Linked DNA regions of Coturnix japonica. The protein of the gene in region 1 purifies or fractionates together with the protein of each later gene. This does not show direct contact. Links are inferred from orthologs where the notes say so. Each region holds a gene or a part of one and is shown in the gene's direction. Other genes may lie near its edges. The genes, in order: TRIM47; fructose-1,6-bisphosphatase 1; PPM1A.

Evidence for each region.
Region 2: the proteins of TRIM47 (region 1) and fructose-1,6-bisphosphatase 1 purify together in Homo sapiens (affinity purification with western blotting; 3 studies listed by BioGRID). This does not show direct contact. The link is inferred for Coturnix japonica from reciprocal best matches to the Homo sapiens genes TRIM47 and FBP1.
Region 3: the proteins of TRIM47 (region 1) and PPM1A purify together in Homo sapiens (affinity purification with western blotting; 3 studies listed by BioGRID, with this or other methods). This does not show direct contact. The link is inferred for Coturnix japonica from reciprocal best matches to the Homo sapiens genes TRIM47 and PPM1A.

Annotation. Positions count from the first base shown.
Region 1 is NC_029533.1:4,022,386-4,032,888, forward strand, and holds the start of TRIM47 (E3 ubiquitin-protein ligase TRIM47), read left to right. Parts: upstream 1-5,143; 5' UTR 5,144-5,221; coding exon 5,222-6,298; intron 6,299-7,740; coding exon 7,741-7,836; intron 7,837-7,950; coding exon 7,951-8,181; intron 8,182-8,667; coding exon 8,668-8,863; intron 8,864-9,381; coding exon 9,382-9,456; intron 9,457-10,054; coding exon 10,055-10,503. Other genes in the region: TRIM65 (tripartite motif-containing protein 65), read left to right, coding at 1,696-2,133, 2,360-2,455, 2,528-2,761, 2,879-3,059, 3,287-3,370, 4,013-4,575. UniProt on the Homo sapiens protein: E3 ubiquitin-protein ligase that mediates the ubiquitination and proteasomal degradation of CYLD.
Region 2 is NC_029547.1:37,637,044-37,647,607, reverse strand, and holds the start of fructose-1,6-bisphosphatase 1, read left to right. Parts: upstream 1-4,992; 5' UTR 4,993-5,046; coding exon 5,047-5,216; intron 5,217-6,627; coding exon 6,628-6,790; intron 6,791-8,579; coding exon 8,580-8,672; intron 8,673-9,699; coding exon 9,700-9,843; intron 9,844-10,564. UniProt on the Homo sapiens protein: Catalyzes the hydrolysis of fructose 1,6-bisphosphate to fructose 6-phosphate in the presence of divalent cations, acting as a rate-limiting enzyme in gluconeogenesis. Plays a role in regulating glucose sensing and insulin secretion of pancreatic beta-cells.
Region 3 is NC_029520.1:49,579,547-49,590,164, reverse strand, and holds the start of PPM1A (protein phosphatase 1A), read left to right. Parts: upstream 1-4,364; 5' UTR 4,365-4,720; intron 4,721-10,618. UniProt on the Homo sapiens protein: Enzyme with a broad specificity. Negatively regulates TGF-beta signaling through dephosphorylating SMAD2 and SMAD3, resulting in their dissociation from SMAD4, nuclear export of the SMADs and termination of the TGF-beta-mediated signaling.

The DNA of each region.
Region 1 (10,503 bases):
CCGGGCAGTCGGGAGCCTTCAGCGCCTCTAGAGGGAGAGACAACAAAATCTCAGCACCTTGGCTCTGAGTTCCACTTTGCTGGCTCTGCTGGAAGGCATGCGGCTGAGGGCAACAGGCATTCAGTGCTGGCAGCTGTCAGGGAAAAAGGCTGTTTCAGAGCACGTTCGTGGATGAAAACTAATCCACATCCAGGCTGAAATCCCGCTACTGGTTCTGTAGCAGAGCTGATGAGTAGCAGCAGCAAGACAGAGTCCACCAGAGATGCCCTGCCTTGCTTCTCTGGAAGGGTGACCGTTCTCCTTTCACCTGCCCATGAAACAAACAATCCAGGCCAACTTGCATCTCCTTCCCCTTTCTGTGCTGCAGTTCAGGGCTATGCCAGCTTTCATTTCTGTGTTCAGATTAATGAATCAGATTAAATACTCTGAGTGATGTTGGTGATGCTGACCTGTCTTTATTGGGAAGAGCTTGGCGTACCAGCCAGGTGGTACAGAGCTGGGGGAGCTCTGTGGAGAAGCACAGCTCTTCTGGACTGGATCTCCTTCCCTTCTTGGGCTTTGTAAGGAGGGAGGAGCACAACTACACAGGTGGTGAAGACATACAAGGTCAGCATTTGTGAGGCTGGATTCTCCTAATGGCTGCTGAAGCACATGAACATCAGTCTCCTTCACCTCACTCCCTACACAGCCTGTGCCAGATGTGGATGAATGGAGCACAGACAGAGCTGGCACTGCTGCAGTCCATGCTTTCTGCTCTGCTTTGCAGCGACCTCAGTGCAATCTCTCACTTTCATGTTCTAAATAACTCCCCAGACACATCCTAAGACCCTCCAGCCTGCAAAGGAGCTTGCATGGAAGTGCCCACCTGCTGCCATTGCTCAGCACCATTATCTGCAGGGTGCTCTGCTGCTGTCCTGAGGGGTGAGCACAAAGCAACAGCATGCAAGGAGGTTGCAGAGCTGTTACAGCTTAACTCCAGTAACGTGTGTGCAGCAATAAGGGGCCTGCAAGGGCAAGCAGACAAGGAGTGCAATGAGAGGTTGGGAGCAAGTGAGCGATGTGAAGACAAGGAGAGGGGGTTTGGTGCAGGGCAGTGCAGTCCCTTTAGGCTGCAGGCTCCAGCTGAATGAGGGCTGATTGCCTTGATGCCTGTGTTGTGTTTCAATGCTCAGCCCTGCTGATGTGCACTGAAAACAGGCAAGGAGCAGACTGGGAATGCCCACCTTGCTCTGCAAGCAGCGGTGCCTGAGCACATGAGAGTAGCATGAGCTGCATAATAAGGGAAGATGTGAGGTTGGGCTGGCTGGGTTGTAGCCTTTATCACTGCAGAAAGGAGGACAAGCAGCTGCTCTGACAGATGCTCTCTCAAGGAGCAACGATTGACAAATGAAAGAGTGAAATTGAATTGCACAGAACAGTGCAATTCCATCATTCCACAGTGCAAAACCCATCCAGTGCATGGATACAATGGCATGCCTTGCTCTGAGCCCTGTTAGCCCCTTGCATGGTGCTGTCAGTGCAGCATTTCCTGCATCCTGCAGTGCTGTGTCTGGGCAGCTGCACCCACTGGGTGTCACTTTAAGGGTACTGCTGGCCCAGAGCCCTGACCCGCCCCTATGCTCAGCGTCACACATCTCTTCCTGCTCTGCAGGCCGCTTCCAACCCTCCTGCTCCTTTCCCCATCCCCAGCTCAGCATGGCCTCCCCCACCTCGGAGAAGCTGGAGGACAAACTGCTGTGCTCCATCTGCCTGGAGCTCTTTGTGGTGCCCATCACTTTACCCTGCGGGCACAACTTCTGCGAGCACTGCATCGACAACCACAGGAACAAACAGGAGCAGGCGGTCAACGGGCCCAAGAGGGGCTACACGTGCCCTACGTGCCGCTACAGCTGCGAGCAGCATCTGGAGCTGAAGAAGAACGTGACGCTGAGCGACGTGGTGGAGCTGGCACGGACGGGCAGGGTGCAGGCAGGGGGCTGCGAGGTGGCCCATGTTGGGCTGTGCTCGTTGCATGGCCGCCCGCTGGAGCTGTACTGTGAGGATGAGCAGCGCTGCATCTGCTGCGTGTGCGTCGTGCGGAGGTGCCAGCAGCACCGCACGGCTCTGTTTGAAGACGTGCGCTCCAGGAAGCAGGTGGGGAAGAGATGGGGGGGTTGTGTGCTGAGCTGTGTGGCTGTCAGGCATGGAGGGCGCCCCAAAAGGCAGAACAAGGGGAGCCCCGTTGTGTGACGTTTGTGATCCCTTTGGTTTAGAAAAAAGGGGTGTAAAGGCACGAAGCAGCAAAGGAATGCAGCCTGCCCTGCTCCTAACATGGTCCTTGGGGGCAAGGGGCTGCAGTATGGGCTGCCTCCCTCCGCAGGCTCAGCTGGAAAGGTCCCTGGAAGAAGCCCAGAGAGAAGCAGAGAGGATGGAGCAGGCGCTGCGGGAGCTGGAGGAGCGGGCACAGAGCATCGAGGTGAGGCCACAGCCACCCCAGGGCTGGGCTGGGTGGGAGCACTCCACACCTCACAGCCTTCCATCCCTGCAGGACTCTTCTGAGAGGCTCCAAGCTGTGATCCTGAGCAAATTTACCCACCTGGAGGAAGCGCTGGCCAAGTTCCGGGAGCAGATGGTAGCCAAGGTGAAGCAGGAGGAGTCAGTGGCTATGGGACATATAGAAAAGGACCGGAATGCATTGAAGGATCATCTGGAGGCTCTTGGGCAGCACCGGGACCAGGCACAGCACCTGATGGACTGCACTGACCATCAGACCTTCCTCAAGGTACCATTGGTACACCCCAAATCCCACCCGTAAGGATGGAGAATGGGCATTTTGGGGCTGCCTATGCAGGTTTGGGGGCTGTCACATCTCCCCTGATATCTGTGTGTCCATCTGCAGGAGTTCCTGCAGCTCCCAACCCTGCAGAGCATGGAGGTGCCACCGCTGGTGGAGTTCAACGTGGCTGTTGTGATGGAACCCATGAGCGAGATCCTCACTGCTACCTCCAGGCTGCTGCTGGAGGAGCTGCCTGCCTCGCTGAGCCCCAGTGCCCCTGAAGCACCTGACCCCATTGCCCCAGGTGAGCTTCAGGCTGCCCTAAATGCCTCCACCTCACTTTGGCCATTGAGACTGTGCTGGGACACACGGGGATGAGGGCAGGTATCTGGGTACAGGAGGGGCTGGGTGGTTCCTGCGTGTCCCCTCCTTGCTGCTCACTCCCAAATGTGCACCCAATGGGGTTCCCTTCTCCTCTGCCCTCAGCAGCTGGGTGACATCACCCTCCATGCCTGTCCCTGTCACCCACAGGCCCGGTGCAGCCCGAGGAGACACCAATGAAGGTGGTGTCCAGCCCTGTCCCCAAGTGCCGGCTGCGTGCTGAGCTGCTGAAGGGTGAGGAGCAGGAGGGGGGGATGCTGCAGGGCTGGGGCAGCACTATGGGGTTGGGGAGAGGCTCCTTAGTAGGGGGCAGCAGCACAAGGGATGGCTTTCCCACAGTGCCTGCTATGGGGTCAGCCCCTGCTGATCTCACCCCATTCCCACCCTTCCCGATGCCCCAGATTTGGATGCAGCACTGTCCCAGTGCCAGCACCCAGAGGGGTGTGCAGGGCTGATCCAGTGCCCACCCCACACTCAGCCCTTGGTGCCCCTTCCCTTTTCCTTTAGGGACCGTTTCCTAAATGCTTCCTTTCCCATCTCCTCCCTGCTGAAAAAAAAACAACCCAAATACTTGTAATATTTAGGGTGCTTTGGTCAGGTTGCTTTTCCCAGCAAGGCAATCAGTGCATACAGGACCTATAAGGGTTTCTTCCACTGAGTCGCATGAGCTGTTCTCAGTGTTATTAATAGAAAAACCAACAACATTTATTAGCAGCAGCCAGGAGCCCAGAATAGCCAATGGGACCAGGTCAGTAAATCCCACAACCCCATATCTCCTCCTCAAACCCATCTGTTTAGGGGGAAGGGGGGTTCTGGTGGGGGCTGCCATGAACTTTGGGTTGTGCTGAAGCATCCCCATGTCATTGCTGTCCCCAGATCACCGAAACCTCACCTTCGATCCCGACACGGCCAACAAGTACCTGGAGCTGTCGTGTGCTCAGCGCAGAGCCAAGCACGGCCCCAGCACCGCTGCAGGTTGGCAGGAGCGCAGCCATCGCTTCGAGCCCTGGCAGGTGCTGTGTGTGCAGAGCTACGGGCAGGGCCGCCATTACTGGGAGGTGACCATCTCCAGCCATTCTGTGGTGCTGGGGGTGACTTACGGTGGGCTCTCCCGGCACAAAGTGAAGGGCTGCAAGTTCAACATTGGGCTGGATGGCGGCTCGTGGGGGCTGCAGGTGAGGGAGGACAGCTACGTCGCCCGGCACAAGGGGCAGGAGGAGAAAATCCAGCTGCGGCCATACACCGAGCTGGGGGTCTGCCTGGATTATGAGTGTGGGCTGCTCTCCTTCTATGGCCTCGGGGAGGAGGTGCAGCTCATCCATTCCTTCCACACCGTCTTCACGGAGCCGCTGTTCCCCGTGTTCTGGCTGTGTGAGGGCCGCACCATCACTTTGTGCCACAGGGACTGTGAGGGCAATGATGGAGAGCTGGGGCTGTGACATGTTGGGTAGGGAATAAGGCACACAGGTAATGGTGATGCTCTTGCAGCAGGGATGGAGACCCCAATCACTGTCCATAGGGACTTATGGGGGCTGTGCTCCCATGCAGATGGGATGTGGAGATGGGATTCCCTTTTGCCTTTTGACCTGGAGGAAAATGAGGCTTGAAGAGCCCATGGGAAGGTGTGGGGGCTGCAGGCAGGTCCTGTGCTCCCAGCCATCCCCACCCCCTCACACTGCTTTGGAGGTGGCAGAGCTGCCTTTTGGGGTGACACGTTTCTCACTGGAAGAAGCTGTTTACCCCAATAAAGTTCTGATTTCCTGCTGGTGTGACCTCAGTGCAGGTGGGGCTGAGCTGGGTGCCTCTGTTCCTGCATGTCCAGCAGCAGAAATAGTCATGGCTCTGTTTACAGCAGCACAGAGAAAAGGGAAACGTGATTTCCTATGTCTCTGCCCCAAGGTTGATCTGACCCAGAATAAAACCTCAAAGCTTTGAAGCTTCTCATCCCTGGGGATGCTGGTAAGTGGGTGAAATTGGCCACTGGGCTCAAAGGTGCTGGAGCTGAGCAGGGGAGAGAATCAGTTCCGCTTGTTCCCTTTGGGGAAAATAAGGTTTAGAAGGAGAAAGCTCATTTTTGGCGGACAGATGGGTCCGTCCCAAGGATGGATGGGGTGGATGGACGGGGCGCTTTTGGTCCATGGGCACAGTGACACAGACACGGGGCACCCACTCGCAAGGGGAGAACGCAGACCCCTCCTCACGGCTCCCGGATCCCCGTGGGGGGGGAAGGAGGCCCCGATCCCCCCACCCCGAGGCGGCAGAGGGCGGAGCGGGCGGGCGGAGCGCGGTGTCCGACCGCCCCATAGCGCCGGTGGGGCCGCTGGGTCGGGTCGCATCGGGATGGAGGGTGCGCCCGGGAGAGCGCAGCCGGTGCCTTCCGCCGCCACCGCCGCGGCTCTGCGGTTGGCGTTGGCCGTGCCGGGTTTGCCCGACGGTCCTTTCGGTTGCCCCATCTGCCTGGATCTGCTGAAGGACCCGGTGACGGTGCCGTGCGGCCATAACTTCTGCCAGGGCTGTCTGGGGAAGCTCCGAGGGAGGACGGGCCCCCCCGACGGGGCGGCGGGCGGGGCGGCACGCTGCCCGCTGTGCCAGGAGCCCTTCCCGGCGGCTCTGAGGCTCAGCAAGAACCGCGCCCTGTGCGAGGTGCTGCCGCTGCTGGGGGCCGCAGGGGCCGGGTCGTCCCCCGACGGATCGCGGACCCCCCCGGCCATCGCATCCCCTCAGCCCGGGCCCGGATCCCCCCCCGGTAGCGCCGGGTTCAGCACAACGGGACCCCCCGGAGCCGCGTCCTCACCCACCGAGATGGCGCCGGGGGCAGAAGAGGAGCCGGAGGGAGAAGCGGAGTTGGAGGAGGGGGCTTCGGGGGTGCTGTGCGATGTGTGCCCCGAGGGGAGCCGGGCGGCGGCTGCCCGCTCGTGCCTGGTGTGCCTGGCGTCCTTCTGCGGTGCCCACCTGGAGCCCCACCGGCGCTCCCCGGCGTTCCGCTCTCATCGCCTCGTAGCCCCGTTACGGCGCTTGGAAGAAGGGCTGTGCCCGCGGCACCTGCAGCCCCTCGACGGCTTCTGCAGGGCCGAGCAGACCTGCGTGTGCGCCCGCTGCCGAACCCACGAGCACCGCGGCCACGACGTGGTGACCCTCGAGAAGGAGCGGGAGCTCAAGGAGGTGCGTGGGGGGCAAAGGGTGGGCGGCAGGGAGGGTCGAGGGGTGTAATAGTGGTTCTGAGTGGGAACCCTGATGCTGTGGAGGAGCTCAGCCTGGCACAGGGGTTGCACGGTGCCCTATGCGTGCGGTGGGGAAAGGGAATAGGGAGGATGGACCAACCTTGCGGTCCCTATAGGTTTGGGGCTGGGGGTGAGAGCACCTGGGCCCCCCCACACCAAGGAGCTGCACCATGTCAGGGAATAAAGCAGGGTGCTGTGTTATGGGGGTGAGGGCTGCGTGCATCTCCCCATGTGGGTGATTGGGATGCCCTGGATGGGGTGGGCGCTGCATCCCACCCTCACATGGGATCTCACCCCAGCAGGTGGGCTGCTTGCATGGGGCGCAGTGGGACCCCACAGCCCATCGCTGGGGCACTACAGTCAGTCCTGCCCTGTCTGTGGGTTTAGTGCTGCAGCCATCAAGGGACCCCCAGCTCCCCCCACAGGGTGCCTGCCTTCCCCGTCTGGTTCCCACAGCTCCATCAAGGCAGTTTTTCTCCTCTCCCTGGCTGGCTGCCCGCCCGCCTCTCCCGCTCCATGAGCCCTTTGTGTTGCTCCTTTTGGCAGCAGGGATTTTTTCCGTCACTCCCATTCCCAGATGTGGCTGAGTCACCTCCCAACTTCTCACCCACGAAACCTCCCTGTGGTTCCGAGTGCGGGGAGATGGAGCTGCCAGGTTGGCAGCGTGGGGGCATCCCTGTCTCATTGTGGGGCCATGGGGGACCTCAGGGGTGACCCCCTTCTCTGGGTACCATGCAGACACCCAGCAGCAGCCCCAGGTTGGCTGCTTGTCCTTCGTGGGCTCTTGGGGATATGGGGAAGCCCTTCTATTAGTCATAGGACCCTTGAAATAGAAAGCTATTTCCTCAACAGGCACTGCTGAGTGTCGCTGCTGTCTGTGGGGTGGGAAGGAGGGACTGAAAAAGCTCCTCTCCCACCTCCCCAGGCTGAGCACTGGAGGAGGTCAGCCCAGTAACACACGTGATGCTCCCAAAAGGCTCCCAAGGGGCCTGTCCCCATGGTGGGCAGCAGGCTGGGGCTAACAATAGCCATCAGGAAGCGCTGTGCTTCCTTTGCAGCACCTCATGCTCCTGAGCAGTTTTGCTTTGCTCGTACAAGAAATATCCCAGGAATTAATGCAGTGCTGAGTTCCTGCACTGGTCCCAATTAGCTTTTTCCAGCCTTGAGCACCTTGCTGAACATGCAGAAGGGATGTTTGCAGCTTGGTTGGGTGGATATAGAGGGTTGCACAGGGAGGAAATAGGGAAGGTAACTGGTCATTCCTATATACCCAATAACAAAACCATGGTTTTGGGGAGGAGGGGGCTGCAGCTGGTCTGGGTTTATTGTCGTGCTCTGCTTCCTATGGATATGGAGCTCAGTGCTCGTCCTTTGTGTCTGCAGGCTCAGCAAGCCAAATTCCTCAGCAGTGTGGACAACGAGCTGGAAGAGCTGGCTGTCACCATCGCACAGACCAGGAAGATGGTGGAGCTCATTAAGGTGCCTTAAGGGATGGACCTCCTCCATTAATGGGGCACTGCCGGGAGCTGGGAGGGTCCTGGGTGCCCCCTCCTTTGCTTCCAGTGATGCTGACCCCTCTGTCCTCGCACTCAGGGTGTAGCCAGCAAGGAGAAGGATCGGGTGGAGAAGCTCTTTGCAGAAGCCTCGGAGCTGCTGGCCACCTTCCAGAAGGAGGTGGCTGCTTATATTGAGGACAGCGAGCGCTCCATGCTGGGGGAGGCCGAGGCTGATCTCCGCTGGAAGGAGGAGAGGCGAGCCAAGCTGGCCCAGGGCAAGCAGAACCTGGAGAACGTCCCCAGCACCGACACCATCTACTTCCTTCAGGTGCGTGGTGGGCACGGAGGTGAGGAGGAGGAGCAGGTGCTGTCTGCTGGGTTTGGTCCCCTGTCACACAGAGCTGAAGGTTGTGAGGCTGTGGGGTCCCCCACCTGTTTGCAGCATCCTCTCCTTGCTGCTGGGCTGGGCTGGGCTGCCATAGCTTTGTCCTCCATCACCCACACCTTCACTGCAGCCCAGGCTCGGTACCTAGCCTTGGGGATGGGGTGCCCCGCTGCCCCTTGCAGTATTCCTCAATGTTTTGCAGAGGAGATGCTTCTCTTCAGATGGGCATGGCCTGAGCCTGGGTTTAAAAGAGAGCGAGGAGAAGGAGCCAAGGACACGTGGCCGCCCTCCTCCCTTCTGCAAGGCTGCTTTGGGGCCAAGTCCTGCAGGCTGCCAGTTCCCAAATCCTCCGGGGCCGGGTGGGGTTGCGGAACAAGAGGCAGCTTCGGCTTGTTTGAAACCTCCTGAAACTCTGTCTTTTTGGCTCAGGAGTTTCAAGCCTTAAAAATAGCCATGGAAGACAACCTCTCTCCGGCTCCGAGCTTCCAGAAAGAGCTCAACTTCACCAAGTGCTCCCAAGCCGTCTGTGCCGTCAAGGATGCTCTGTCAGCTGCCCGCAAAAGCCAGTGGGACTGTTTGCAGGGGAAAGGAGTGGATGGGATGAGCTTCCCGAAGGCAGAGGAAGGTCTGTGCCCACCTGGCCCCATGCCCATGTGGGGAGCCCAAGGGTGCATCCTCCTGTCGGGGTTGGGAAGATGCCTGTGGGCTCTGGGGCTCCTGGAAGCGCTGGCCCATCTCCCAGGCATGGTTGCACAACCACTGTCTGGGCTAACGCCTCCTCCTTGAGGTTTTATGAAGTTTTCCACGGAGACCAAAGGCTTGAGAGGCAACAAACAGCCTGAGAGCTAGGCACGGCCCTGTGGGAGGGGGCAAGGGGCCAAAGAGCTGTGAAAGGGGACTGTTCCTTCCCAGGACAGGCAGCTCCCTTCACTGGGCAGGTTGTGGGCTCCCTGAGCTGCAGGGTTAGAAACCACAGCGGCTGGAGGGCTGGGATGCTCCCTTCTGTGCTCTCACTTAGGCTGAGCTCCTTCCTGTCCCTCAGTTTTCTGGATACCAATGGGGGGCTTCAGGGATGATGCTTCAGAAGTGATGGCAGCAGTTTTGCTGTGACAAACCCTTTCTGTCTCTGTTTCTTTTCCCCAGCAATGACCAAGTCTTCGTTTCCAGACAAGTCAAACAATCCCGCCTGCCTGGAGAGCCGCGAGTACTTCCTGAAATGTAAGTGATGGGGTTTTGCTTTGACAGTTGTTGCTATGGTCCATCCTCCATCCCACAGGCCCTGGCCCCATTGCTATGTGCCAGAGGAAATATTGCTCAGCTAACGAGGAAGTCTCCTTGCTTTCCTGACAACGACCATAATCTATTTAGGTGATTTTTTTTTTCCCCAGCCTGTGGTTCTGCCAGAGCAGCTGCCACAGGGCTGTGAGCACACAGTATAAATAATGCTGTTCTCCTTCCAGAGAATTGAATCCTGTGTTAAATTAGATCAGGGTTGGTGCATCTGCTTTGGGCCAGACGCTGGTCAGCATCAACTGTGTGATGCAGAGGGGGAATCTAGGGGCTGTGCAGGGAGTGCTGCGGTGGTAAGGAAGGGGAGGAGAAAAGGAAGGTCTAAAATGAGGCAGGAGATGGGAGAGAGGCCATTCTGTGATTCTGCAGCTCTATGATTTAAAAGGAGGAGGACAGGGTGATGGCTTAAGGATGCTGCAGGAACAGAGTCAGAAAAAGATCATGGGAATTATGAGTGCTGGAGCAGGGTGGGCTGGGGGGAATTCCCTCTCTCCTCATCCTCCTGTCTTCTCCTCACCCCATACAGTTGCCTTCATCATCGACCTGGACAGCGATACGGCCGACAAGTTCATCCAGCTCTTTGGCACCAAGGGAGCCAAGCGGGTGCTCTGCCCCATCCCCTACCCAGAGAGCCCGACCCGTTTCATCAACTGCGAGCAAGTGCTGGGTGTGAACCTCATGAACCGGGGCAACTACTACTGGGAGGTGGAGCTCATCGATGGCTGGGTCAGCATCGGCGTCATTGCCGAGGTCTTCAATCCACAGGACTCCTATGACCACAGCCGCCTGGGCCGCAACACGTGGTCCTGCTGCCTGCAGTGGAACGGGCAGAATTATGCTGCCTGGTTCGGTGGCTTAGAGTCTGTCATCCAGCAGCCATTTTTCCACACGATCGGGGTCTTCTTGGAGTATTCGGAGAAGGCTTTGACCTTCTATGGAGTCAAGGACTCCAAAATGACGTGCCTGAAGCAGCTC
Region 2 (10,564 bases), on another chromosome or scaffold:
CTCCAGCTGCAGATCAGACCAGGTCCTGGTGTAAAAAGATAGAACACAATGGTGACATGTCCAAGATTGTATTATCAAAGGAAATGTATTTGCTACTACTGCCACTGGTAAAGTGAGGCTACTTGCAGCAATAATGGGAAACTGTGAGAAAAAAACCTAACTTCAGATCAGGATTTTATCGCTATCCATAACTGTATATATCTATTGCTATGTAGAAGTTAATTTAAAAGGATTAAGCTGCTGTTTATTCACCTTATCACAACCAAATAGATTCTGTATAATGACCTGGAGGAGAGGCTTCTTTCTACTCCCCTCTCACTCCCATTTCTTAAGTCATACCACCTCACAGTGGAGCTTAATCTGTGTGGGCTGAACTTTCTTGCTATTTCTGCAGAGCTGACCCAACATATGCTTGGCATCCCCTTTCTCTCCTCTGTGTAGTCTGCAACTGTGTCATCAAAGAAGTGTCAAGTAAACAGTGGAAGAGGGAAAGCACAGAGAAGGTCACAAGGGCAGTCCCTTGTTTTGTCAGTGCCTCTTTTTCCTATTTGCTTCTTCTGTCTCTCATACTGTGTAAATTGCTGACATAATCAGCCAGCTGTTCATTTTTACTCAGGTTTTTCCTCTCTGGACCAGGAAGAAGTCTTTTCCTCAATCTTCTCTGTCTACCTCTTTATATCACAAGACAACTATACTGATTAGTTGATGCTTAATCAGAATTTAGAAGCTGTGGCAATTGATGCAAACTACGGATAGAAATAATTTTTAAAATGTAGAGGTTAGAGGTCATTCTAAGTAGCTTTGCTGCCTACTTTTATCATGTAACCAAATATGGATTGTAAAGAGCAACAGGGAATAGCTATTAACAGTCTCCTTTCTTGGGCATGTATTTCACAGGCTTACACAAAAGAAGACTTTTGTGAATGCTGAGCTATGTTTTTGTATTCCCTGTAGTCTGTACCTCGCTAACAGTTATTTCTGATCAGTCCCCCTCACACAACAAACAAAGGTGGAAATGCCAACCACTGTAATTTCATAAGACTTGTTGTGCTGGTAAACACCTGCAATTACATGGAAAGTCTGTACAAAAGTAAAATTACTAAAGCCAAGCAAATGCTCAAGTCCTACCCTCAAAGCTGAACCTCCTGTGCCAACATTCATTTAAATTGTGGAACAGAATCTGAAACAACTGAGCAGACTGTTCTCTGGGGTGAAGTGACATAACTAGTTATTTAATCCGGCAATGAGATATGCAAGGACACTAATGGTACATCTGCCCAGAAATCTGCCCTAGGGGTAGCACCAGGGTCTGAGCAGAGAATTTGATTGTTTCCAATATGTTCTACCTCTGGCAATTCCTCTTGAATTTTCAGGTTTCCTTTTTAAATATAGAAAGGCAATGTTCTTCCATTTAATTGTTGCACTGAGAAACAACATCATGTAACCATGGCATTGATAAAATCTATTTCTTCCTGCATAATGAAGAGTCAAAATACTAACTCTACCATTTGACTGACCTTGTGCCAAGTGCACTGAAAATTCTTCAGGTTGGCAGCAATTTTTTGAATCTTGTTGATGTAGAATTAATTATGCTTTTTATGCTTTTCATACCTTTTATACTTTATGCATTTTATAAGATGGAAAGTGGTAGCATGAGTAATTTCAGATAGCATACTCTTTACTATGTTTAGAAGGTAGGGTCTTGTGGTTCAATAACAAATACAAGGTTTTACAATTCAACATTTATTTTTCAGATCCATGTATACTTTGTTTTCAGCACCTAGCGTCTGCATGTTACATACTTTGCCAGCTCATAGAGAAGTCCAAATGTGCTCTCAGAAGAGCCAGCCTCACAGTACAACACTGAAAGTGCTCACACGCTGCTTCCACGGGAGGGCAGTGTACAAACACAACAGGACAGTATACAAGCACAGCTTGGAAACCCCTCAGTGCAGTATTTATATTGATATCAGCTTTCCAGTTCAATTGGCAAAGTAATTTAATGCATGGTATCAAATTAATTCTATTTTCTAGTTAATATGTTAGATATTAATTTTTAATTGGTTTTTCCTTATAATTGCATCCCTCTCATGCTAATGCCTTCTGGTATATTTCACCTGTGTCCACTGATGTGATGTGCTTTGCTATCACGGTCATAAATAAATACTCTGGGATGCTGGCCCAGCATGCCAAATTCATGTAATAGATAAGCACTGAAGCTAAAAAGAGGAAAGACTGAATGTGTGGATATAAACCCACCTCAGAATTCCCCACATGACACTCTCCCCAGCTTGAAGGATTGTAATTACTACTGCAGTTTCTAATGATCCACCTCTTGAAGCAAATGATAAAAAGCCTGAGCCATCCCCTTCACAGTGTCCCAGTCCCACTCACCATGGCATAGTGAGTTAGAGATACCATCTGTTAGCTATCACCCTTGACTGTTAGATCCGACTCTCACACCACCCACCTGAAAAGAAACTTCCACATCTTTCAGACTTTTGCATGAAAAAAAATTTCTCTCAGCGAAAGTGGGATCTAAGTCTCCCCTCCCCATGTGGACACTCTTACTTCAGGGGAAGCCTTTCCAAAAGCACTTTATTCCCATTGTCCTTTTGGCTGTCAATTGAATCTACAAGAGGGAAGCTTGGTAACAAAGTACCTGGGAATAATTTTATATCTCATTTTCTACATAATAATAATTTGTTTTAAAATGTTGTGGATTTGCACAATTACAACTCTAGATCAGCTGTGCTCTGTGCTTAGTTGGATGTCATCTGTTTGCAAACAAGACCATGTTTTCTTCCATACAGAACTGACAGTTTCAGCAATGTTTAATCAACCAGTACTGACCTTTCTTCTCAAATGACAGAAATTCATTTTCAATAAATGTTTAACTACTGATTTCTAGGGGAAAAGTTCAAAACGTGTACAGACTACATCTAATCCTATATTAGTTTCACATTTACCACATAGCATGATTGCTGTAGGAGTTCTCATGTGTTTTAGGATGTAAGACAAATTGTTTTGCAGTCCAAGAATCTTCTGACATTTGCATTCTCTTCCTTTTTCTGACCCCCATTTTGCTCCTGTTATTTACCCATGTTTTGAGGGAAATGGTGGATGGAGCCACTGTCCATCATATTTGAAAGGTCATGGCAGTCTGATGAAGTTCCCACTGACCAGAAAAGGGGAAATATAACCCCCATTTTCAGTGAGGGGAAAAAAAAGAACTGGGGAACAAGAGGCCAGCCAGTCTCACCTCAGCGCCTGGCAGGATCATGAAGCAAATCATCCTGAAGGCCCTACTAAGGCACATGGAAAATAAAGATGAGGTGACTGCTTATAACCAACATGGCATCATCAAGGGCAAGCCGTGCCTGACAAACATGCTGGCCTTTTATGATGGATTTACAGCATTAGTGGATAAAGTAAGAACAAATGACATTAATCCACCTGGACTTCTGCAAAGCATGAATGGTCACACTCAGAGAGTTGCAGTCAGTGGCGAAGTATCCAAGTGGAGACTGGTGAGGAGTGGTATTCCTAAGAAATCAGTGTTGGGACTGGTGTTATTAACTTCTTTGTAGGCTATGGGGCAGTGGGATCAAGTACACCCTCAGCAAGTTTGCAGGCACTTGGTATAAGCTGAGTGGTGCAGTTGAAGTGCTAGAGGGATAAAATGCTATCCATAACTTGAGAAGTGGACCCATGTCAACCTCATGAAGTTCAACAAGGCCACATGTAAGGTCCTGCACCTCGGGCAGTCTCAAGCATAGATGCAGGTTGGGCCAAGAATGGCTTGAGAGCAGGACTAAGGAGAAGGATTTGAGGATGTCAGTTGATGAGAGAGATTCAAGATGAGCCAGTAATGTGCACTTGCAGCCCAGAAAGGGAACCGTATCCTGGGTTGTACTAAGAGAATTGAGACTATTAGGTCAAGGGAGATGATTCTGCCCCTCTGCCCTCATGAGACCCCACCTGGAGTATTGTGTCCAGTTCTGGAAACCCCAGCACTAGGACATGGAGTTCTTGGAGCAGGTCCAGAGGAGGGCCACGAAGATTATCAGAGGGCTGGAGCACCTCCCCTATGAGAACAGGCTGAGTGAGCTGAGGTTTTTCAGCCTGGAGAAGAGAAGGCTCTGAGGAGACCTTATAGAGGCCTTCCAGCACCTGAAAGGGACCTACGGGGAGAGGGGGCCTATAGGGGAACAGATTTTTTCTAAGGGCAGGTAGCAACAGGATGAGGGTAAATGGTTTTAAACTGGAAGAGGGTAGATTTAGACTAGATATTAGGAAGAAATTCTTTACTATGAGGGTAGTCTAAAGGGAGGTATCCCTGCCTATAGCAGGGGGATTGGAATTAGGTGATCTTAAAGATCTCTTTGACCCAAGCCATTCTATGATTCTGTGATCTTTTTGCATTGCCTTAAGATATTTGAAAGTTCTGACAAAGAGGCAAGAATTACACACATACTACAGCACTTGGTAAAATTACTAAGTTTTCTTTTAGCGAATGCATATTTGAGAATTGATCAGAATTGCTTCAGGATATATCCACGTTATAGTCTAGATAGGTAGCAGAAAAACTGAGCCAGATGTCTTGGCTAGATAGCCATTTCTCATGGTACAGAACAAACTGTACAGTGCAGATTCTGTCTGAAAACTTGTGTGCTAAATAAAGCACTAAGCTTTACATTCTCACAAGTCATCTGTCCTTGACTACTAGGACTTAAGTTATTTAATGACAAGGTCAGTTCCTACAGACAACAGTATCACAGAAATGACCCGTGTATGGGCATACTCTAGGACCAGTGGACATGAAAGTACGTTTTCCTGAACCACTGAACGGCTCAAGCTGGAAGGGATCTTAAAGAGCTCCGAGGCGCCGCACGGATCCCACCTAAAGACCTGCCGTCGCCAGCCCCAGGGGCGGAGCGGGGGGTGGGCGGAGCGGGGGGCGGGCAGAGGGGCGAGGTCCAGCCCTCGGGAATAAGTGAAGAGCCGGCGGCTGGGCAGCGGTGCCTCTCGACCCGCGCCAGCAGCATGACTGACCGCTCCGCCTTCGACACTAATGTCATTACCATGACCCGCTTCGTGATGGAGGAGGGCCGGCGGGCGAAAGGCACTGGGGAGTTCACGCAGCTCCTCAACTCTCTTTGCACCGCCGTCAAGGCCATTTCCACTGCCGTGCGCAAGGCCGGCATCGCCAACCTGTGAGTGACACCCCTGCCCCGAGCAGGGGTGGGGGCTGCCAGTCGGGAGCTGCGGGAGGTGGGATGGCCATAAGACATCGGGCTGCTCTGTAGTCTTTCCGCTCTTCCCACCTTCTTCTTGGGACTGCGGCAGCAACTCGGACAGCATCTTCTCCCAGGAGTAGTAGGCAGTATTACTTGCTTCTGGGTCCCTTTAGCAGACACTGCTGCTGATTGACCCTCACATAGACCTTCATCAAAAAGGTGTGGGTGTTTTGAACCAGAAAACCAAAGGAGCAGGCTGAAGGGCATGTATCAATGGGTTACTGCTCACTGGAGTTAACAACTCAGTGTCAGAGCACCACTTTGTGCTACGTGGTACTGTGCTAGTTTTTCTTTTTTCCACATTATTTTGTAGCACTGTGAGTTTGTGAGGATGACTGCAGACTGTGGCAGCCAACAGAGCTGACACCAAGGAGTGTTTGCTCTGGGAACACTGGGAGGAAACTCAAACACATAGAGTCATGACAGGTCCCCTGCAGGCAGCACACCGTATTTCTAAGTTCAGCATTGCAAAAGACCTGAATTACCAAATTATTCACACTGATCAGTGTATCGTGGCTGAAGTACATTAGAGAAATCTCAGTATGTGCAGAGCTGAGTCCTGCTTTTCTCTGCTGAGAGCTGAACTTCCTGGTCTCTCTTCTGGATGTTTTCAACATTGCCTGTCACAAGGTTTCCCAGTACTTCCTGATGTCAGATAGAGTAGTGCTGATTAGCTTGCAAGGCTTTATTTGTGTTTTGTGCCTGTGTTTCTCAGCTTTATTCCCAAATAAATGTTTACCACTTAAAGTGAAAAGCTGAAAACACTGAACCATAAAATTGGTGATTTATGTGTGAGCAAAGTGTTTGTTTTGGAACTTGTACGTGGAACTACTAACCAAGAGCAAACTACATTGAGAAGTTACAATGTAACTAGCACAGTCAGATTCACTTCCTAAGTATAAAGTTTCCAGCAACATCTTAGCTATTAGAGTAAGCAGCTGTGACAGTGGAGATAGGATGGAGGGACAACATTTAGGTCTTATAGTTAGTATAAAGTAATGTGGTTTTGTAATTCAGCCTTCACAGCCTGCTCTGGCTATATGTGTCTATAATTCAGGGACAACTGAAAAATAATTCCCTCTTTTGTGTACTTCATCTTCAGTGTCTTCTAGATTTTTTCATGACACAGGTGATCCGTGCTAAGACCATAGCCAGTTTTAGCAAGGATGCATTGGACAGCAAGTCAGGTGCAAAAACCTGGGAGATCATCTATCAGTACTGTTTCCACTGCAGGATGTTGTACAAGCATAGACTTGTCAGAAATGGGCTGATTTGGAGGCTGCAGCGCGCTCCTCTGACTGGTTGCTCTCTACTTGCCTTACCTTAGGTATGGGATTGCTGGTTCTACCAATGTGACAGGAGATCAGGTGAAGAAGCTGGACATCCTTTCCAACGATTTGGTGATTAACATGCTCAAGTCATCTTTCAGCACATGTGTTATTGTCTCTGAAGAAAACAAGGATGCTGTAATAGTTGAAGCTGACAGAAGGGTTGGTAACTTTGAAAATTCTCAGTACTCTATTTCAGACTGATCTTTACAACTGTGTCTATTCAAACATGGGAAATTGGATCTGGGCTAAAAATTTCAGAGAACATGTACTTTTCCATATGGACATATACAGTCTGTTTTCAGTTAGTTTGTTCTGTAGGTGCACGTGTTCATCTGTCCCCACATTTGTCCTGCCTGCTATTTCTGTTTGCAAGACTGGATTTTTAGTTTTGTTTTCTCTGATGTTCTTCCTCACTTTTTTTTTTTCTCTCCCCACTTTTTTCCTAATTGTGGAGGAAGTGTTTTTCATGTTTCTTCCTCCTGATCTCTGGAGCTGCACTCTGAGTCTATACAGCACTTTTGTAAAGGAGCTTTATCAGTAAAACACTGACTACTTGCTGCAGATCAGATCTTCACTTCTCCAGTTTAGGCAAATTCTCCCAGAAGGCCTGAAAATAAGATTTTTGCAACAACACAAAAAATCATTCCAACTTTTTGACTTTAATTATATTTCCTGGTCTGCATATCCTTCTTGAATGATCATAATTCCTTTCTGCTGCTTAATATTCTGGTGTGCAAAATAAATAAATAAATTAAAAAAAAAATCAGAGCAAAAAGTATAGAGGAAAAAAACAGCAAACATAATTTAAAAAGTATAACATTAGTTTCGTCAAAGCAGCTGTCTCTTTCCTTCTTTGCCGAGAACCCCTCAAAATGGATTGTGTTAGCATCGGATGAATTTTAGATATGCTTTAGATCTGAACAAATACAGTTACAGATCCTTGTGAGGATCACTGAGAGAGGCTCAATGTTAATGCTTTTATTTATTTATTTTATTATATATTTTTTTTAAACAAAATGTGAGATAAATGTCACTTCTCTCAGAATTTCTACCCATATGATAGCAGAGTATAGAATTTCTGAGTTTAAAAACGTTTCTGGTTTCCAGGATTGAAATTGAATGAGAAGCAAATATGCAAACATATTTATTATGCATGATTATTAGTGATTGTGAACAGCATAAGGGAAAAATGAGCTACATAAAAAGCATAGTGGAATCATCTGTTTTCCCTGTACTGGCAGTTTCCTTTGTCTGCAAGAATCCTTAATACTGCCATAGGCAGAAACCACTCCTCTCTGGGGGAACAAGCGCCCAGCCCACAGGGCAAAAGCAGGAACTGGCTGCAGTAATTTCTGAGTGCCTGTCAATTTCTGAGCAGAAGACTTTGTTAAGCTGTTCAAAGTGGAATGTGCAGTAAAGTGTATAGATTCTGAATGTCAGGTCTTAATGTCATTTTTAATCCCTCTAGTTTTAGCTCTTTATAAAAAGAAGATAGATCTTCTTGTCTGTTTCCTTAAAATTCAGCATACAGTTTCATTAGAAATGAGAAAATGTAGTCTAAATAGTAGATGTTAGAGGATGTCTATCAAAATGGATCAGCATTAACTTCTTATATAAAGCTAAACTGATTACTTAACTTTTTAAATAATGAATTTAAAAAAAAAAAAAAAGTTGAATATGAGAACCTGCTTTGCTGTTTCATCATCTGTTAATTACTTTAAGAATTCCCCAGATTCTACTTTAGCACCAATCACAGTTGTGATCAAGAATGAAATCCAGGTCAGAGATCCTTCAGTTACAAAGTTATGTTCCTTCATAATCTCTAAGAACATTTTAATTTATATTGATATATGAATGTTTGAGAATATTTATCTACTGAATACTTCAATTTGTAGGAGGTAAGCGAATTATGTTACTAACCTTACTGCTCCCCATTTTATATTTTTAGGGTAAATATATAGTTTGCATAGACCCTCTGGATGGATCATCTAACATTGACTGCCTTGTTTCCATTGGGACCATCTTTGGTATCTATAGAAAGGTAAAATGCTTTCCAATAGAATGGGAAAAATTATTATTGTGCACCTTTGGGTAAAATAGAATTGCATATGAAAATTTAATAAAATCTCACTAAAGTTATTTGTGAAAGAGTCTTTCCAGGACTGACTGTAAGTTAAATCTGCTGCTTCAGATGTCTGTATGAAAGATTTGTAAGTGATTTGCACCACTGTCTTAGAATATGAACATTAGAAGAACATGGAAGCCTTGCTGATATTTAATTAGTCAGCTAGAGGAGTCACCCCTTACCTGGTATTAGATTCATGAATAATCTTCTTGAGACAAATTGCCACGTAATTGTTATCTACATGTGAAATGTGCTTTCAGGTTTTCTTTTTCTCTATACTAATGTTAGCCTGAGGACAGGCTTCAAATATAAACCAGAGCTGAAATATGGCATGTGCATTTGAGTGTCTAATTCACTCTGAAAGGCAGAAACCTTGTCTGAAAAGCCTGAAATACTGGACTTACATGTCACAAGATGGGGGAAACAGTAAGCCAGATAAAAACACACCCAACTGTCTGTTTTAATCATTTTTTGTTCTCACATCCCTCAAAGTAACTATTTTCCACTTCGTTTTTTGATGAAGCAAAGGAAAATAAAAGCAACCCTAGGCATTTTGCTCAGCTGTAAACTCCATGAGTCATTTTTCATTGCTTGCTTTTCAACTATGACTTGGAGTTTTGCTTCTAGCCATGTTCATCACCACCTACACAGGAGGTGTGCAGCTCTATATTATCGCCTTAATCCTTTCCTGTTTCCTGCATTCCAACAATGCTTATATAAGAGCATTTCTAAATGAATGTGTCTCTTCCATGTAATTTGTGCACTATATGTAATGCATACGACAATAAAACACATCCATTAGGAATCCTAGTTGTAGGCCATGCAAGCATTTGTGCTACGTGTTGCATGAATATGCAGTAAGAAGACATTCCTATCTCAGAGTCCAATAATAATACATACCAGATTTAAAAAATGAAGTAATTTTTTTTCCTCCTTGTTCTAGGTATCCCCTGATGAACCTACTGGGAAAGATGCTTTACAACCTGGGCGCAATCTTGTGGCAGCAGGTTATGCTCTCTATGGGAGTGCCACAATGCTGGTACTGGCTACTTCTGCTGGAGGTGTCAACTGTTTTATGCTTGATCCGGTGAGAATGTCTTCTGCTTGTTTGTTTATTTAGGGATAACAAGGTACTGTCCGTAAGAACCATTTGTTCATCAAAAAGGTCAAAGGTACAATTTTCAAATTAAAGCTGATGTGGAAAAATGAAGTACGTTCTGTATCCTGCCAAAACTAAGATCAACAGATTTTTGCATTCCATCTGCCTGCCACAGTCAGTGATTCAGTAATGGGAAGACAGTTGAGTCAGTGAAGCAAATATGCAGCATGTGTCAAATAATGTGGCATTTAAAACAAGCTATTTTCTGCAATGCAGAATGCAGCTGAGGTTTTTCTATTTTTTCTTTTCTTTTTTTTTTTTTTTTCTTAATGCTAGGGCCTTAGTAAACTGTTGAAGCAGAGATTCTTAACTGACTTATGTATTTTCAGATCTCTCCACGATAAGTAAAAGAGTAAGTGATGTGTGTGAATGTGTTAGACGCTGTAGAACACACTGATGCATAAGCTTTAAAATCAAAGACATACTGACAACAGCAGAAAGTCGTTTGCTACAATAACCCGTCTTTGTGTTATCAGTCAACCACAATGCCTGCATTAAAGTTTTAGAACCTGCAGCAGTCAAGAAGCAGGAAATATACTGTGGTGCTCCCTGTAAAATAAGAGCTTAATTAGCTGCATGTGTTTTTGTTTACTTTCAGATAGGAGACAGCTTAGAGCATGTGTGAATGTTATTTTGTTTGCTTTTATCA
Region 3 (10,618 bases), on another chromosome or scaffold:
CAATCGTATTTCAAACACCTAAAAAAAATCAGATGACCAAATCTCTTAAGAAGTAGCTGGACTCTTTCTTAATCTATTGGATGAACTGAAATTCCCTGAGAAGGAAGAATCCCATCTCAGCAGGGTGGAGATTTGGATCATCTCCAAGTCCCGTCTATGTTGTGAGTAATACTTTGATATGAAACTGCACCACATTATTTGCAATGGATATCTTGAATGCTTTACAAAAAAATAAAACTCAAGCATAAACTAATGTGTCCCAGTTTATGAGATCATCTTTTTTTTTCTGATATGTTTCTCCTGAAACTGAGCTTGAACTGAACAACATGGAGTTGTGGGTTTATTTTTTAATAATTGCCTTTATTGCTTTGCTAATGTTTTCTTCTGCTCCGTCTCAAAGAAATATAACACTGGCACGAGGCTGGGGGTGGTCATAAAAATGCGAGAAACTGATATTAATAGAAGTCATCATCACACGTAGCTTTGATCTCTTGTCTATTTTTATGATGTCCTTTATGCCAGTAAGTATGAAGTCTTACTTCTTATAGACACACCATGTCTACGCTTATGTAATGAAACTAAAGTGAAACCTCAGTTAAGCTATCAATTAAAATGGGCCTAGATGGCATGAATCAGAATATCATTTAAACCTTGGATTCTCCAGAAGCCTTGGTACTCTACAAACCCATCTTGCAGAACACCGAGCAATGTTCAGATTGCACAGTCTCCAAACCTTGGCTATTTGATTTTGACATGTTGGTTTTAGATCAACTGCAGTTTGATGCAACTAATTAAAACACGCACAAAAGAACTTTCCCAGCTGTGCCTCAGGTTGTGTTGTTTGTTGAAAGGGACAACTGACTGAACAGACTTATGTGAATGGGAGCAGGAAGAAGTAAGCTTTTTGGTTGTGTGAAGAAGGCAACTAGATACGGCTGTTTATAGAACAAAAGGACTAATAAGGCAAAGTTCACAGAATATGAATCTCCTTCACATCTGGAAATTCCAATCTTTATTCAATTTCAGAATCTCTCACTTGAACATTAATAATTATAAAAGTCTAAGAGCATCATTGAAGCCCTGATGACTCAGGATGATGTATTCCTGTGTATCAACAGTCTGACATGTAGTTTCAACTGTAATTGCTAAGCTAATTTTTAGGTTAAACAACTAACAACTGTAGCCAGGCCCATTGAAATTGACTGAGACAACAGCCGTTTTTACAACATGCTAATGACTAAGGGTTTGATCCTGCAACACTGAGGTCAATGGAAGCTTTGTACTGACTTCAGTGAGGATACAGGCCTTCATGCACAGACTACTAATAGCAAACGAGAACAGCAACTCACATGTACCCTTACATTTTTAAATCGGGAGAACTATCCGATATATGAAATAGCCTAAAGCCTGGGTGATAAAATATTCTGATTGTTGGGTAACTCACAGTTTGTCTTACAGGTAAAAATAAAACTACCTCTAGAAAATTCAAGTTCCAGCAACTAACAAAAACATCTTGTACATCTTGTACACTGACAAATGGGGATTCAATAAAGCATGAACCCTTCAGACTGAAAAGAACCGTGGAAAATATTTGTGCTTAAGACCTGTCACGTGGGAATTTAATACATTTTAAATCACTTTCAGTTTTTTACTAATATCACTTTAAGCCATTTCACGGTTTCTGTGCTGAAGAGTAAAGCAGGTGATCTCAATGAGACCATCATTTACATCCTACTATCATGAATTTGGTGCAGTGGCTTTTTAGGGTCCCTTCCAACTCCAGTGCATTAAGCCAGGCTTAAACCTGGTCTTTACATCATGTAACAAAAAAAAGCATTTAGGAAGTTCAAAAACTGTGTTGTACACTGAAAACTAGTACTAGCTAAGGACAAAAGGTTCAGAATCACAGCTGTCACTCTGACACATCCAGCAAGATTCTAAGAAAAGGAAGACTGAGGGAATGTTACAAGGCTTCTTAAGCTCATATAGTCAGTCAGTTGCCAAAGTCCTGTCCAATGCTACTATTAAATCTGGAAAATATTCTACAGAGCAACTGAATTATAATCTTCAAGAGCAAATCTTTATTATTCAGGTTTCCTGTATAACAAACCTTTATTATACAGGTTTCCTACTCAAGGCTGCAGCTCCCAAGCTTTTCATACCCAAGTTTTGCAGGGAAAACCAACCACGTTCCATATCTCAGCACAATCCTCCCAGCCAGCACAGGTGTGACATAACTTATTAGCCTACACCTGCCTTACTGAGTAGTAGGCACCAATCAATAGCTATAATGGAAAAGATATTAAAAATATGCTTTTTATTTGTATTTGGAATATCATTGCAAATGTGATATCTGATGAGTACTGACAAATTAGAAATCTATAAATAGAATATGAAGATCTGAAGAAAAAAAGAGGAGAGAAAAATAGTAACTATTCTATAATAAACCTTCATATTAATTTTCAGAGTAAAAATGGTTTTCCCTCTGTTGATATTTGAGTCTCACAGTGCTTTACTTTGGCTGATTTTCCAGAACAGCATGTTACTCCCATCAGTAAATTCTCAGTAGAAGAACAGAATCGGTGAGAAATGCTTTCTTTTTGTTAAGCACGAATCAGAAAACCACACTGCAATGCCATAATGATTTTGTAGGCTGCAAAATACAAGTTTTTGTTTTCACAAAATGTTTTTTTTTTTAATTAACAAAAACAAACAGAAAACCCTGTAAATGGAGAGTATGTTTTTTCTCTGAGGAGGCAAAGCATGTCAGTTTGTTTAGCCCCCTACAAGAATCCAGCAGAAAGTAAATCATATCAGAACTGCTGCACTTAAAGAGCACAGGGCTTTTGTATACTGTGTTCTTCAAACATTCATAGTCTTTGTGACATCTTTCAGATACATCCAGTTTGGATATAGGATGGTGTGTGCATTTGATGACTTAAACATCGTGTGACTATTAATCATAGCTACAGCACTGGCATTTTATGGAGTTCCCAATGGCACAGCTGCCTCAGCAGGTACCTACAGACATCATTACACCAGGGTGTTGCAGTAACAGTACTAAGAAGACGCAAAGCCTGCAGCACAGTCATCCTGCTGGCTTTTACATTCTAAAAATAGGCAGAGCCCACTGGAGAAGTGATGAGGTAGGGCCAAGCGTAAGTGTCTGGCAAGTTCAAGATTATTACAAGCTTTACACGAGTATAAAGATTTACGTTAGACAAGCTCTAAATAATTAATTTGAGCCATCAGAAAATTTAAGAATCTTGTCAGGGCTGTCATCTCACCTTCATCTACATCCAGAGAAACTGCAGGAGAGAAAAGTCACCTTCAGCAGGGAAACTGACCAAGCTGCTTTAGACACCATTGTAAGCATGAAAGGAATGATTATCTGTATGTGCCTGATTTCCACCACTGATTCAAGGCAGCCTGGACATTAGTTCACCAATATGTTTGATATTTAGATGATTATTGATCCAAATCCTACTCCAAACAAAACAATTGTATTTCACTGCAACTTAAGGGAGTGAAAGAGTTAATACCAAGTGCTACTGAGTGTTGTTCATGCTCACACTAACATGACTAGAACGAATACTGTAGGACTGAGTCTGAACATACCATTCCACTCCAGTCAGCAATGGGGACTGCAGATTTTGAAGTCATGCTGAAACGCAGTAACTCCATCCTTTGGAGAAGCATTGCAACCATGCAGTTTTGTTACATTAATTTCAGCTTTCCTTGCCCTCTACATCTCTGCTTCTATAGGCCTTGCCTGTACAAGAATCCTCAATTAATCCACCATTAACTGCCTCCTGCTGCTGGCACATGTAGATTAAAGCCGTGCCGATCATTACAGGAATGGCAGCAGAAGCACAACCAGCACTTTTCCAACGGGAAACCTTCACATACAGCTCCGTATTATTGTCAAATACAGAAACCACCTCAACAACCTTCCTGATTCTTTAACTAAGTACCTACTTCAACCATTCCTTTTTGGGGTGAGAGGGCAGAGCACAGCCCCATAGAAAAGGACCATATGAGCCAACAGTGTGTCCCCACAGCACAGAAAACCAACTGTATCCTGGGCTGCATCCACACACCATGACCATCAGGGTGAGGTGTAGGAATGACCCGACCCCCCTCAGCCCCCTGCCCACATCTCTCCCCTCAGCGCTGGGGGCGGCGCTCAGATGACGTCACCTCCCCCGAGCTCCCGCCCGGCGCATGCGCGGTTCGCTCTCTCAGGGTGATGTAATACCTCCCCGCCCCCACCTTCGCAGCCCCAACATCCGGGTACTACGAGCGCGCTCCCGCCTCCCCCTCCCCTCCCCGCCGCTCTTTCGGCGCATGCGCAGAAGCGACGAGGAGGAGGCGGTGGCGGTGGCTGTGCAGTGCGTGCGCGAGCGCGGCGGGGAGACGCTCGTTGGCGCTGCGCGGGTGGGCGCGGAGCTCGGGAGGGGAGCGGGGACAAGGAGGGGGGGGGTCGGCGGCGGCCGAGCGGAGCGGAGCGGGAGGCGAGATGAGCGCTGGGCTCCCCGTGGGCAGCGAGCCGCCCTCGGCAGCCGCCGCCTGTGAATGAACTGAGGCGAGGCCGCCCCCCCCTTCCTCATCCTCCTCCTCCTCCCCTGCTCTCCCCCCCTTCCCCTCCCGACACACCGCCGGGAGCGCGGCCGTGCCTCGCCGCCGCAGCCGGTGCCGTCCCCGCCGCGGCCCGGAGGGGGTAAGTGGTGCGGGGCCGGGCTGAGGGGGGCGGTGAGGCGCCATCCCGGGTGGGGGGGCGACCTGAGGGGCCCTGAGTGCGGCTGGGCGCTGGGCTTGGGGCGCAGGCGGCGGCCTGGCGCAGGTAGCAGCGCGCTGCCCTCTCCTCTCCTCCCCCCTCCCTGGGCCGCTTCAGAGTTCATTTAATAATGGCTATAAACAGCCTCCTCCTCTCCCATCGCCACCCAAATGCTTGAGGCACGGCGCTGGGAGGGGAATAGAGAGAGGGGGGAAAAAAAAAGCACGCATCTATTTATAAAGCACCCCACCCTACAGCGAGGGTCGGAGCATCGGGCGCTCCCCGAGCGCTGCCGTGATGCGGCGGGTGGGTTCCCCTCGGCGGCGCCTTTAGGGCGTTTTAAACTTTGAAGGAGGTTTATTTCACCGCCTTTGGAAGCGACGTCGTGTGAGCAAAGGTTGCGGTGTGGCTGCGGAGATGGAGCCTTCGCAGCTGAAAGTTGTGCGGTGCTACGAAGCTCCGCTCCAGAGCTACATCCAGCCTCCGGCCTTGCCTTGGACTGAGGAAGGCACAGGGCTGGGTCGTCGTTTCAGAACCTATTTCGTAGGCATCTCGTAGATATCTGCGTGTTTGTTTTGCGCACGTTGAAATGTTTCAGTGCCGTGCCACGGGTATGGCAAAATCCTGCTGTTGCAAAACCACCTAGTGCTCGTGAGGAACTTAGTTTTGCGCCGTACCTTTTGTCAGATGAGGAAATGGTGGTTGTGTGGTCACCATAAGGCTGCGTGTGTCACGCTGAAGAATTATTTTCCTCCTTTGAAGCAGATGGCAGTCTTAAATGAAATCCTGTGAGCAACAGGCTTTAGCTCTGTCCTCTTTGGTGGTAGGCGATTTTCCATAGATCATGATGGATAATGACAGAGTAAGTAGAATCATCTTGTGAAGCAGAGAAGTTCTAACCCTTGTGATTCTAGGAACTTACTTTGCAGATAGGATCAGTGTGACCTTTTGCTTATTCTCTACACGTACTGCTTCAGTGCCCAGGTGGCTGCTGAAGGATTCATGAAGCCCCCCATGAAATTAAAGGTAACTGCTGTGCTCACGACCCTGTGTGAATTGCCAAATTAACAGGCATTAATTGTGCAAGTTCTACCCACGTTTCTTCTCCGACAGCTTTTCTTTTGATACTATTCCTAGGTTTTCTATGAATAAGATCAGAGACAGGGAAGGGGTGGAGGAAAACATGGGTCAAGGAAGTTGTACTCCTTCCCTGTGTGATCAAAGGAGAGATAGTGAAGAAGAATAGCTGTGCTAGGTGTACCAGCCATCTCTCACCAGGGCAGGGAGAGCTGCTCTCAGACCTTTTCCCTCCAGGCCTGTCTTCCTGGGCGTGCGTTTTGTACATGGGGCTGCTCTAAAAGTAAAAGTCTTGCTGATGCATTATGCCAATTACTAATTTCCTCACAGTCACATTTATCTGATGAAACCCTCTGCTAACTGTAGTTTGTACTGGAGACATCTGGTCTGTGCTCTCGCTGTCTTCAGATGGAAGGGTGTTTTGCTAGAGGGTAGGCACAGCTTAGCTCTGGCCAATACGTTTAGTCCTTTAGTTGTCTTCTGGTAAACGTTTCTCATTGAGGTGCAGTAGAAAACTCTACCTGTTTTCCAAGTGCTTCCTTAGCTGTCTGGAATTAAGCTTGAGAGACTTTGGAAACAAGGAGGAGAGATGGAAGTGCCAAAGGAATGGCAAAGCTTGCAGGTCTAAACAAGCCGAGCTCACTTGGTGCAATTTGAATTAAAGCAGAAGACAAAAAAAGCCTTTTCTATAAAACCAAGCTGGTTGCTTCTTATCTGGAGCGCGTTTTATATGGTGAAGTTGAGTCACTCGTGCTGAGAGAGCGTTTGAAGAACTGTCGTTAAAAAGCTTAGGTACTTTGGCACAGTGTGATTTGCAAACTTATGTAACTGGTATGGTTTTGAATGCAGCTGTCAATATGAGATCTGATTGCACTTGTCCCTTTAGAGTGGAACTAGGAATTTAAAGGAACTACTTTCACTTAATGACCTAAATGTAGGTAATTTAAGAATAGCACATTTCATACTAAAATATCGACTTTGATATTGGTTTTGTCATTACATGCTCTGATGCTCATGTAGAAACATTAGCCAGTGCTAATGTCAAAGTGCATTTACATAATTACAAGTTATTTACAAACAAGCAAATTTTGGAATGGGAAGTTCTGCAAAATAACTAGATTTGTTTTGTCTCTGCAGACCTGCAACTCATTTTAATAAGGCTTGAATAATATTGTTTGAAGTCAAGACAACAGCAGCTTAGCAGAGCTACACCTGAGCTATGCAACGTGCCTTGCTGCTATTGCATACTGTGCTATTGCGACTGTTGCTCCTCCTTTCTCTTAAACCATGTCTCACTCCTTTCCTCGATCTATATCTATATATATATAATCTGTGGCTCTTCTTAGATGATTAAACATCGGTCAGATTTCTTCTTTTGGAAATTAAGCTATTTCTGAATGTAGGTTTGTTGCTGGATTCTTAATTGGTGTCGCTTGTGTTTGTCATATGATCCATATTTCAGTTAAAAGTAGTAGGATAAGGAGTGAACTTAGCTAAAATTTGAGCTGTTTAGAAAGAATTCATGTATTTGAGCCATGATGTGGTGGTATGAATATCAAATAGGTGGTATGGATCTGTGAGGGCAGCATTACCTCCTTGGGGCTTCTTGTTGCTTCCTTTCCCATCTGTGAAGGAACTTCATATTTATTAAGACTTAATACTGTTAGAGCGAATCATTTAAATCTTTGAGGCTAGGAAGAAAATTGTGATAGGAGAACAAGTGAGATACCGTGATAATTGAGGGGGTGTGCTGCTTTTTGTTCCTGGATAGAGGTGGTGTCCTGCTGAGGGCTGTAGGTGTGAAACCAGTGCTGGAAGGTTGGCCTGGCTGTACGTCTATCTGCCAAGCTGTGCTTTTATTAAGCCACGCTAAGTTCAAGGTATCTGTCAAGTCTGTTTTTGTGTTTCTGTGTGTGTTTAAGCTCAACAGGCCTTTGTTTAACCGGGTGTTCATTTAATATTTTTTTTGTTGTTGTTTTCACATACCAGTAAAATTAACTAATGGTTATTTCAGCTTGCTACCAGAGTCTGCAGAACAAAGTGTGTTTATAAATATATCAAACATTTGCTCTGTTTTGTTGCTTTTTTTTTTAACAGCTCTTCTAAAAAGGTGTTCAGATGTGACCAAACCAACAGAATAAACACTTCCTCCATCTATAAATCATACCATTGAAGTAGGCTTCTGCTGTTTGGAGTGTAAACTTTAGAACAGTATATTAGCAAAGGAGCATGTTAGGACTAATATGAAGGTAAAACAAAGCTGGCTGATCAGGTTTCAGTATTGAAATTTGGAGAAATGCTAAAAGTTTGCACATAAAGGAGAAAGTCCATTACTTTGTTGACTGCTAACACCTCAGTTCTTGGTTCAGGTGAGAATATTTTAATGGATTAAAAAAAATAGGTCCTAAATCTTCCAGGAAAATCACTTGTAAACCTGAGAAACTCAAGTATAATGTGACTGTGTTCTGATAGCTGCAGTTTAAATAAAGCAAAGCACTTCAATGTGCTTACACTGATACGCAATGTGCAGCTGAATTATGTGGGGCTGCTTGGATGTGTGATGTAACTCATACTTACGTGCCTTACTGGGTTGTGACCCAGGGGATGAAATGTGCTTTCATCTTTGGGTCTCAACTGTGACTTGAAAGATTTTCTGTAGCTACGCTTAACATTGACACTGTCTGTACTCCTGGTATGGAGTTTGCATGGCAGTCTGAGTTCTCCATGGCCACGTATTGTGGCTGTTTGTGCATAACACTCAGCTGGCTTTAGATTAAGGGAATACCCTAAAAATCAGCAGCCACAGAAGCTGTGTAATCTGTGCCTAAGCTGTTCGTGTTTGGAGATGATTAGAAGGAGTTCACCACTTGTCTGCTAAGTTATATAAAACCAACCAAGTGATTCAGAATGCAGAGAAACGTAGGGAGGTAAAATAGTTAAGTTTTACATTGTAGGACACTGTGTTAAGAGATAATCAGTTTCTTTCCTAATAAATACAGTAAGATTTGGATAGACCCTTCCTATAGATCCACTACAGCCTCTGTCTGTACAGAGCTGTTCTGAGGCTGTCAGTCCAGGCCTGCTAAGCTTAGGAAATACTGATCTTCACACTGCTTAAACTTCTGAAGAGCACATGAATTCCTCAGCACCCCGGTTCAGTGGCAGGGTATTTCAGACTGCAGCGAGCTCAGGTTTGGGTTCAGGAGAGCCTCGTCCATCACAGGTAACCCTTTAGTTCTGGCTGCACTGACAGCGCCAGAGCTGAGCTTGGTGGGTGCTGGGCTCTCAGAGGAAAGCCTGCTGTCCTGGAAGTTCTTGTCTGCATGGAAAGGCTACAATTGACTTTTGTTTTTCCTTGGATTTCATTTTCTTTTTTGAAATAAACTTTGGGGGAAAATGCCTTTATTCTAGCACTCATTTACTGTCCTTTTAATGAGAGAGGAATGCTGAGGATGTGAGGGCAAAATGGCTTTGTCAAATAAAAGCTCTCTGCGTGTGCAGATACCAAACTGCAGCTTTTCCTAAGCTTTGAGGATTTGACTTCCAGATCTTAATGTGCTTCTGGCATCGTTTTGATGTAATTTCCTTGCAAGCAAAGCCAGGTTACAGCTGTGCACTTCAGAACATTTCCTATTTTATTCCCATTTTACTCCCATGTGTAGTCAGCAGGTTTGAAGTCTCGTGTGCTGCTTTTCATGTCTCCTCACCACAATAGTGGCAGTGTTGCTGTGTTGCAACCACAAATACTTTCTCACTAAATTTAAGAGTCTGAAGAATGGCACCTTACACTGAATTGTTTCGTAATATCGAGCACTTGGCTCTGCAGGAAAACTTATGGCCCTGATGGAAACGTCTTCTGATCACGAGATGAGTATCATCGTGTACAACTTGAGGTACAAGGGCTGGAAATTCAGGAGGAAATGTTGTAATGATTCAGTGCATTTAATCATTTTCTTTGTGCTGTGTACAACAATGATAACACGATGTTCTTTGTGGTGAAGGTATCGGTTAAACATGGCAACGGCATCCATGACAGAGAAATGGTGGGATTCTGCAGGGCTTGCCCTTCCATTTACATAACCACAACTGGCAGCACTGCACGACGTGAACTATAAACGAAAACAAAGTGCTGGTTTCCTGAGTAGGAAACCATTTCATCGTGTGTGTGTGTAGGTTTGTTTTGCTGCATTTTAGGAGTGCTTCAATGGATGTGTTTGGTGTTGTGGTGTCCTTTAAATGACTGTCAGCCTCCGATGAGCTGTTCAGCTACCCAAGAATTTCACTTTCCTCTTTTGGGTAATGGTGGCATGGGCTGAACTCAAACCCTCTGCTTGTTCTGAATGGGGTTAGCTGAAGTTGATGAAAACAAATGCTTTTTTGTTGCGTTTTGTTTTCTTTCTGACTCAGAAATAGCAGTGAAATAGTGGTGGTTCTTCCACTAAAGAAAACATTCCTCTATAAATCTTCAATATATCTTTCTGTAAATAGCGAGTACTGTTTAGTTGGTAATACTAGCAGGGAACAAAGATGCTGAGACTTCAAGCTGTGAATGAGAGATCGAAAGAATGAAGTTTATAGAACAGTTTCATTCAGCTGTTACTTGAAGCGCTTGATACGTTCAGATCTGTTCAATTCTTGGACTTGCGGTGGGTTATTTGTACCCAAGTAAGAACTGAATGTTAGGCCCGCAGTGTATAGGAATGGGGTAATATTCCTCATGGTGGTGGTAGGTGACAGTGGTGATGCTCTGTTGTTGTTATAAAT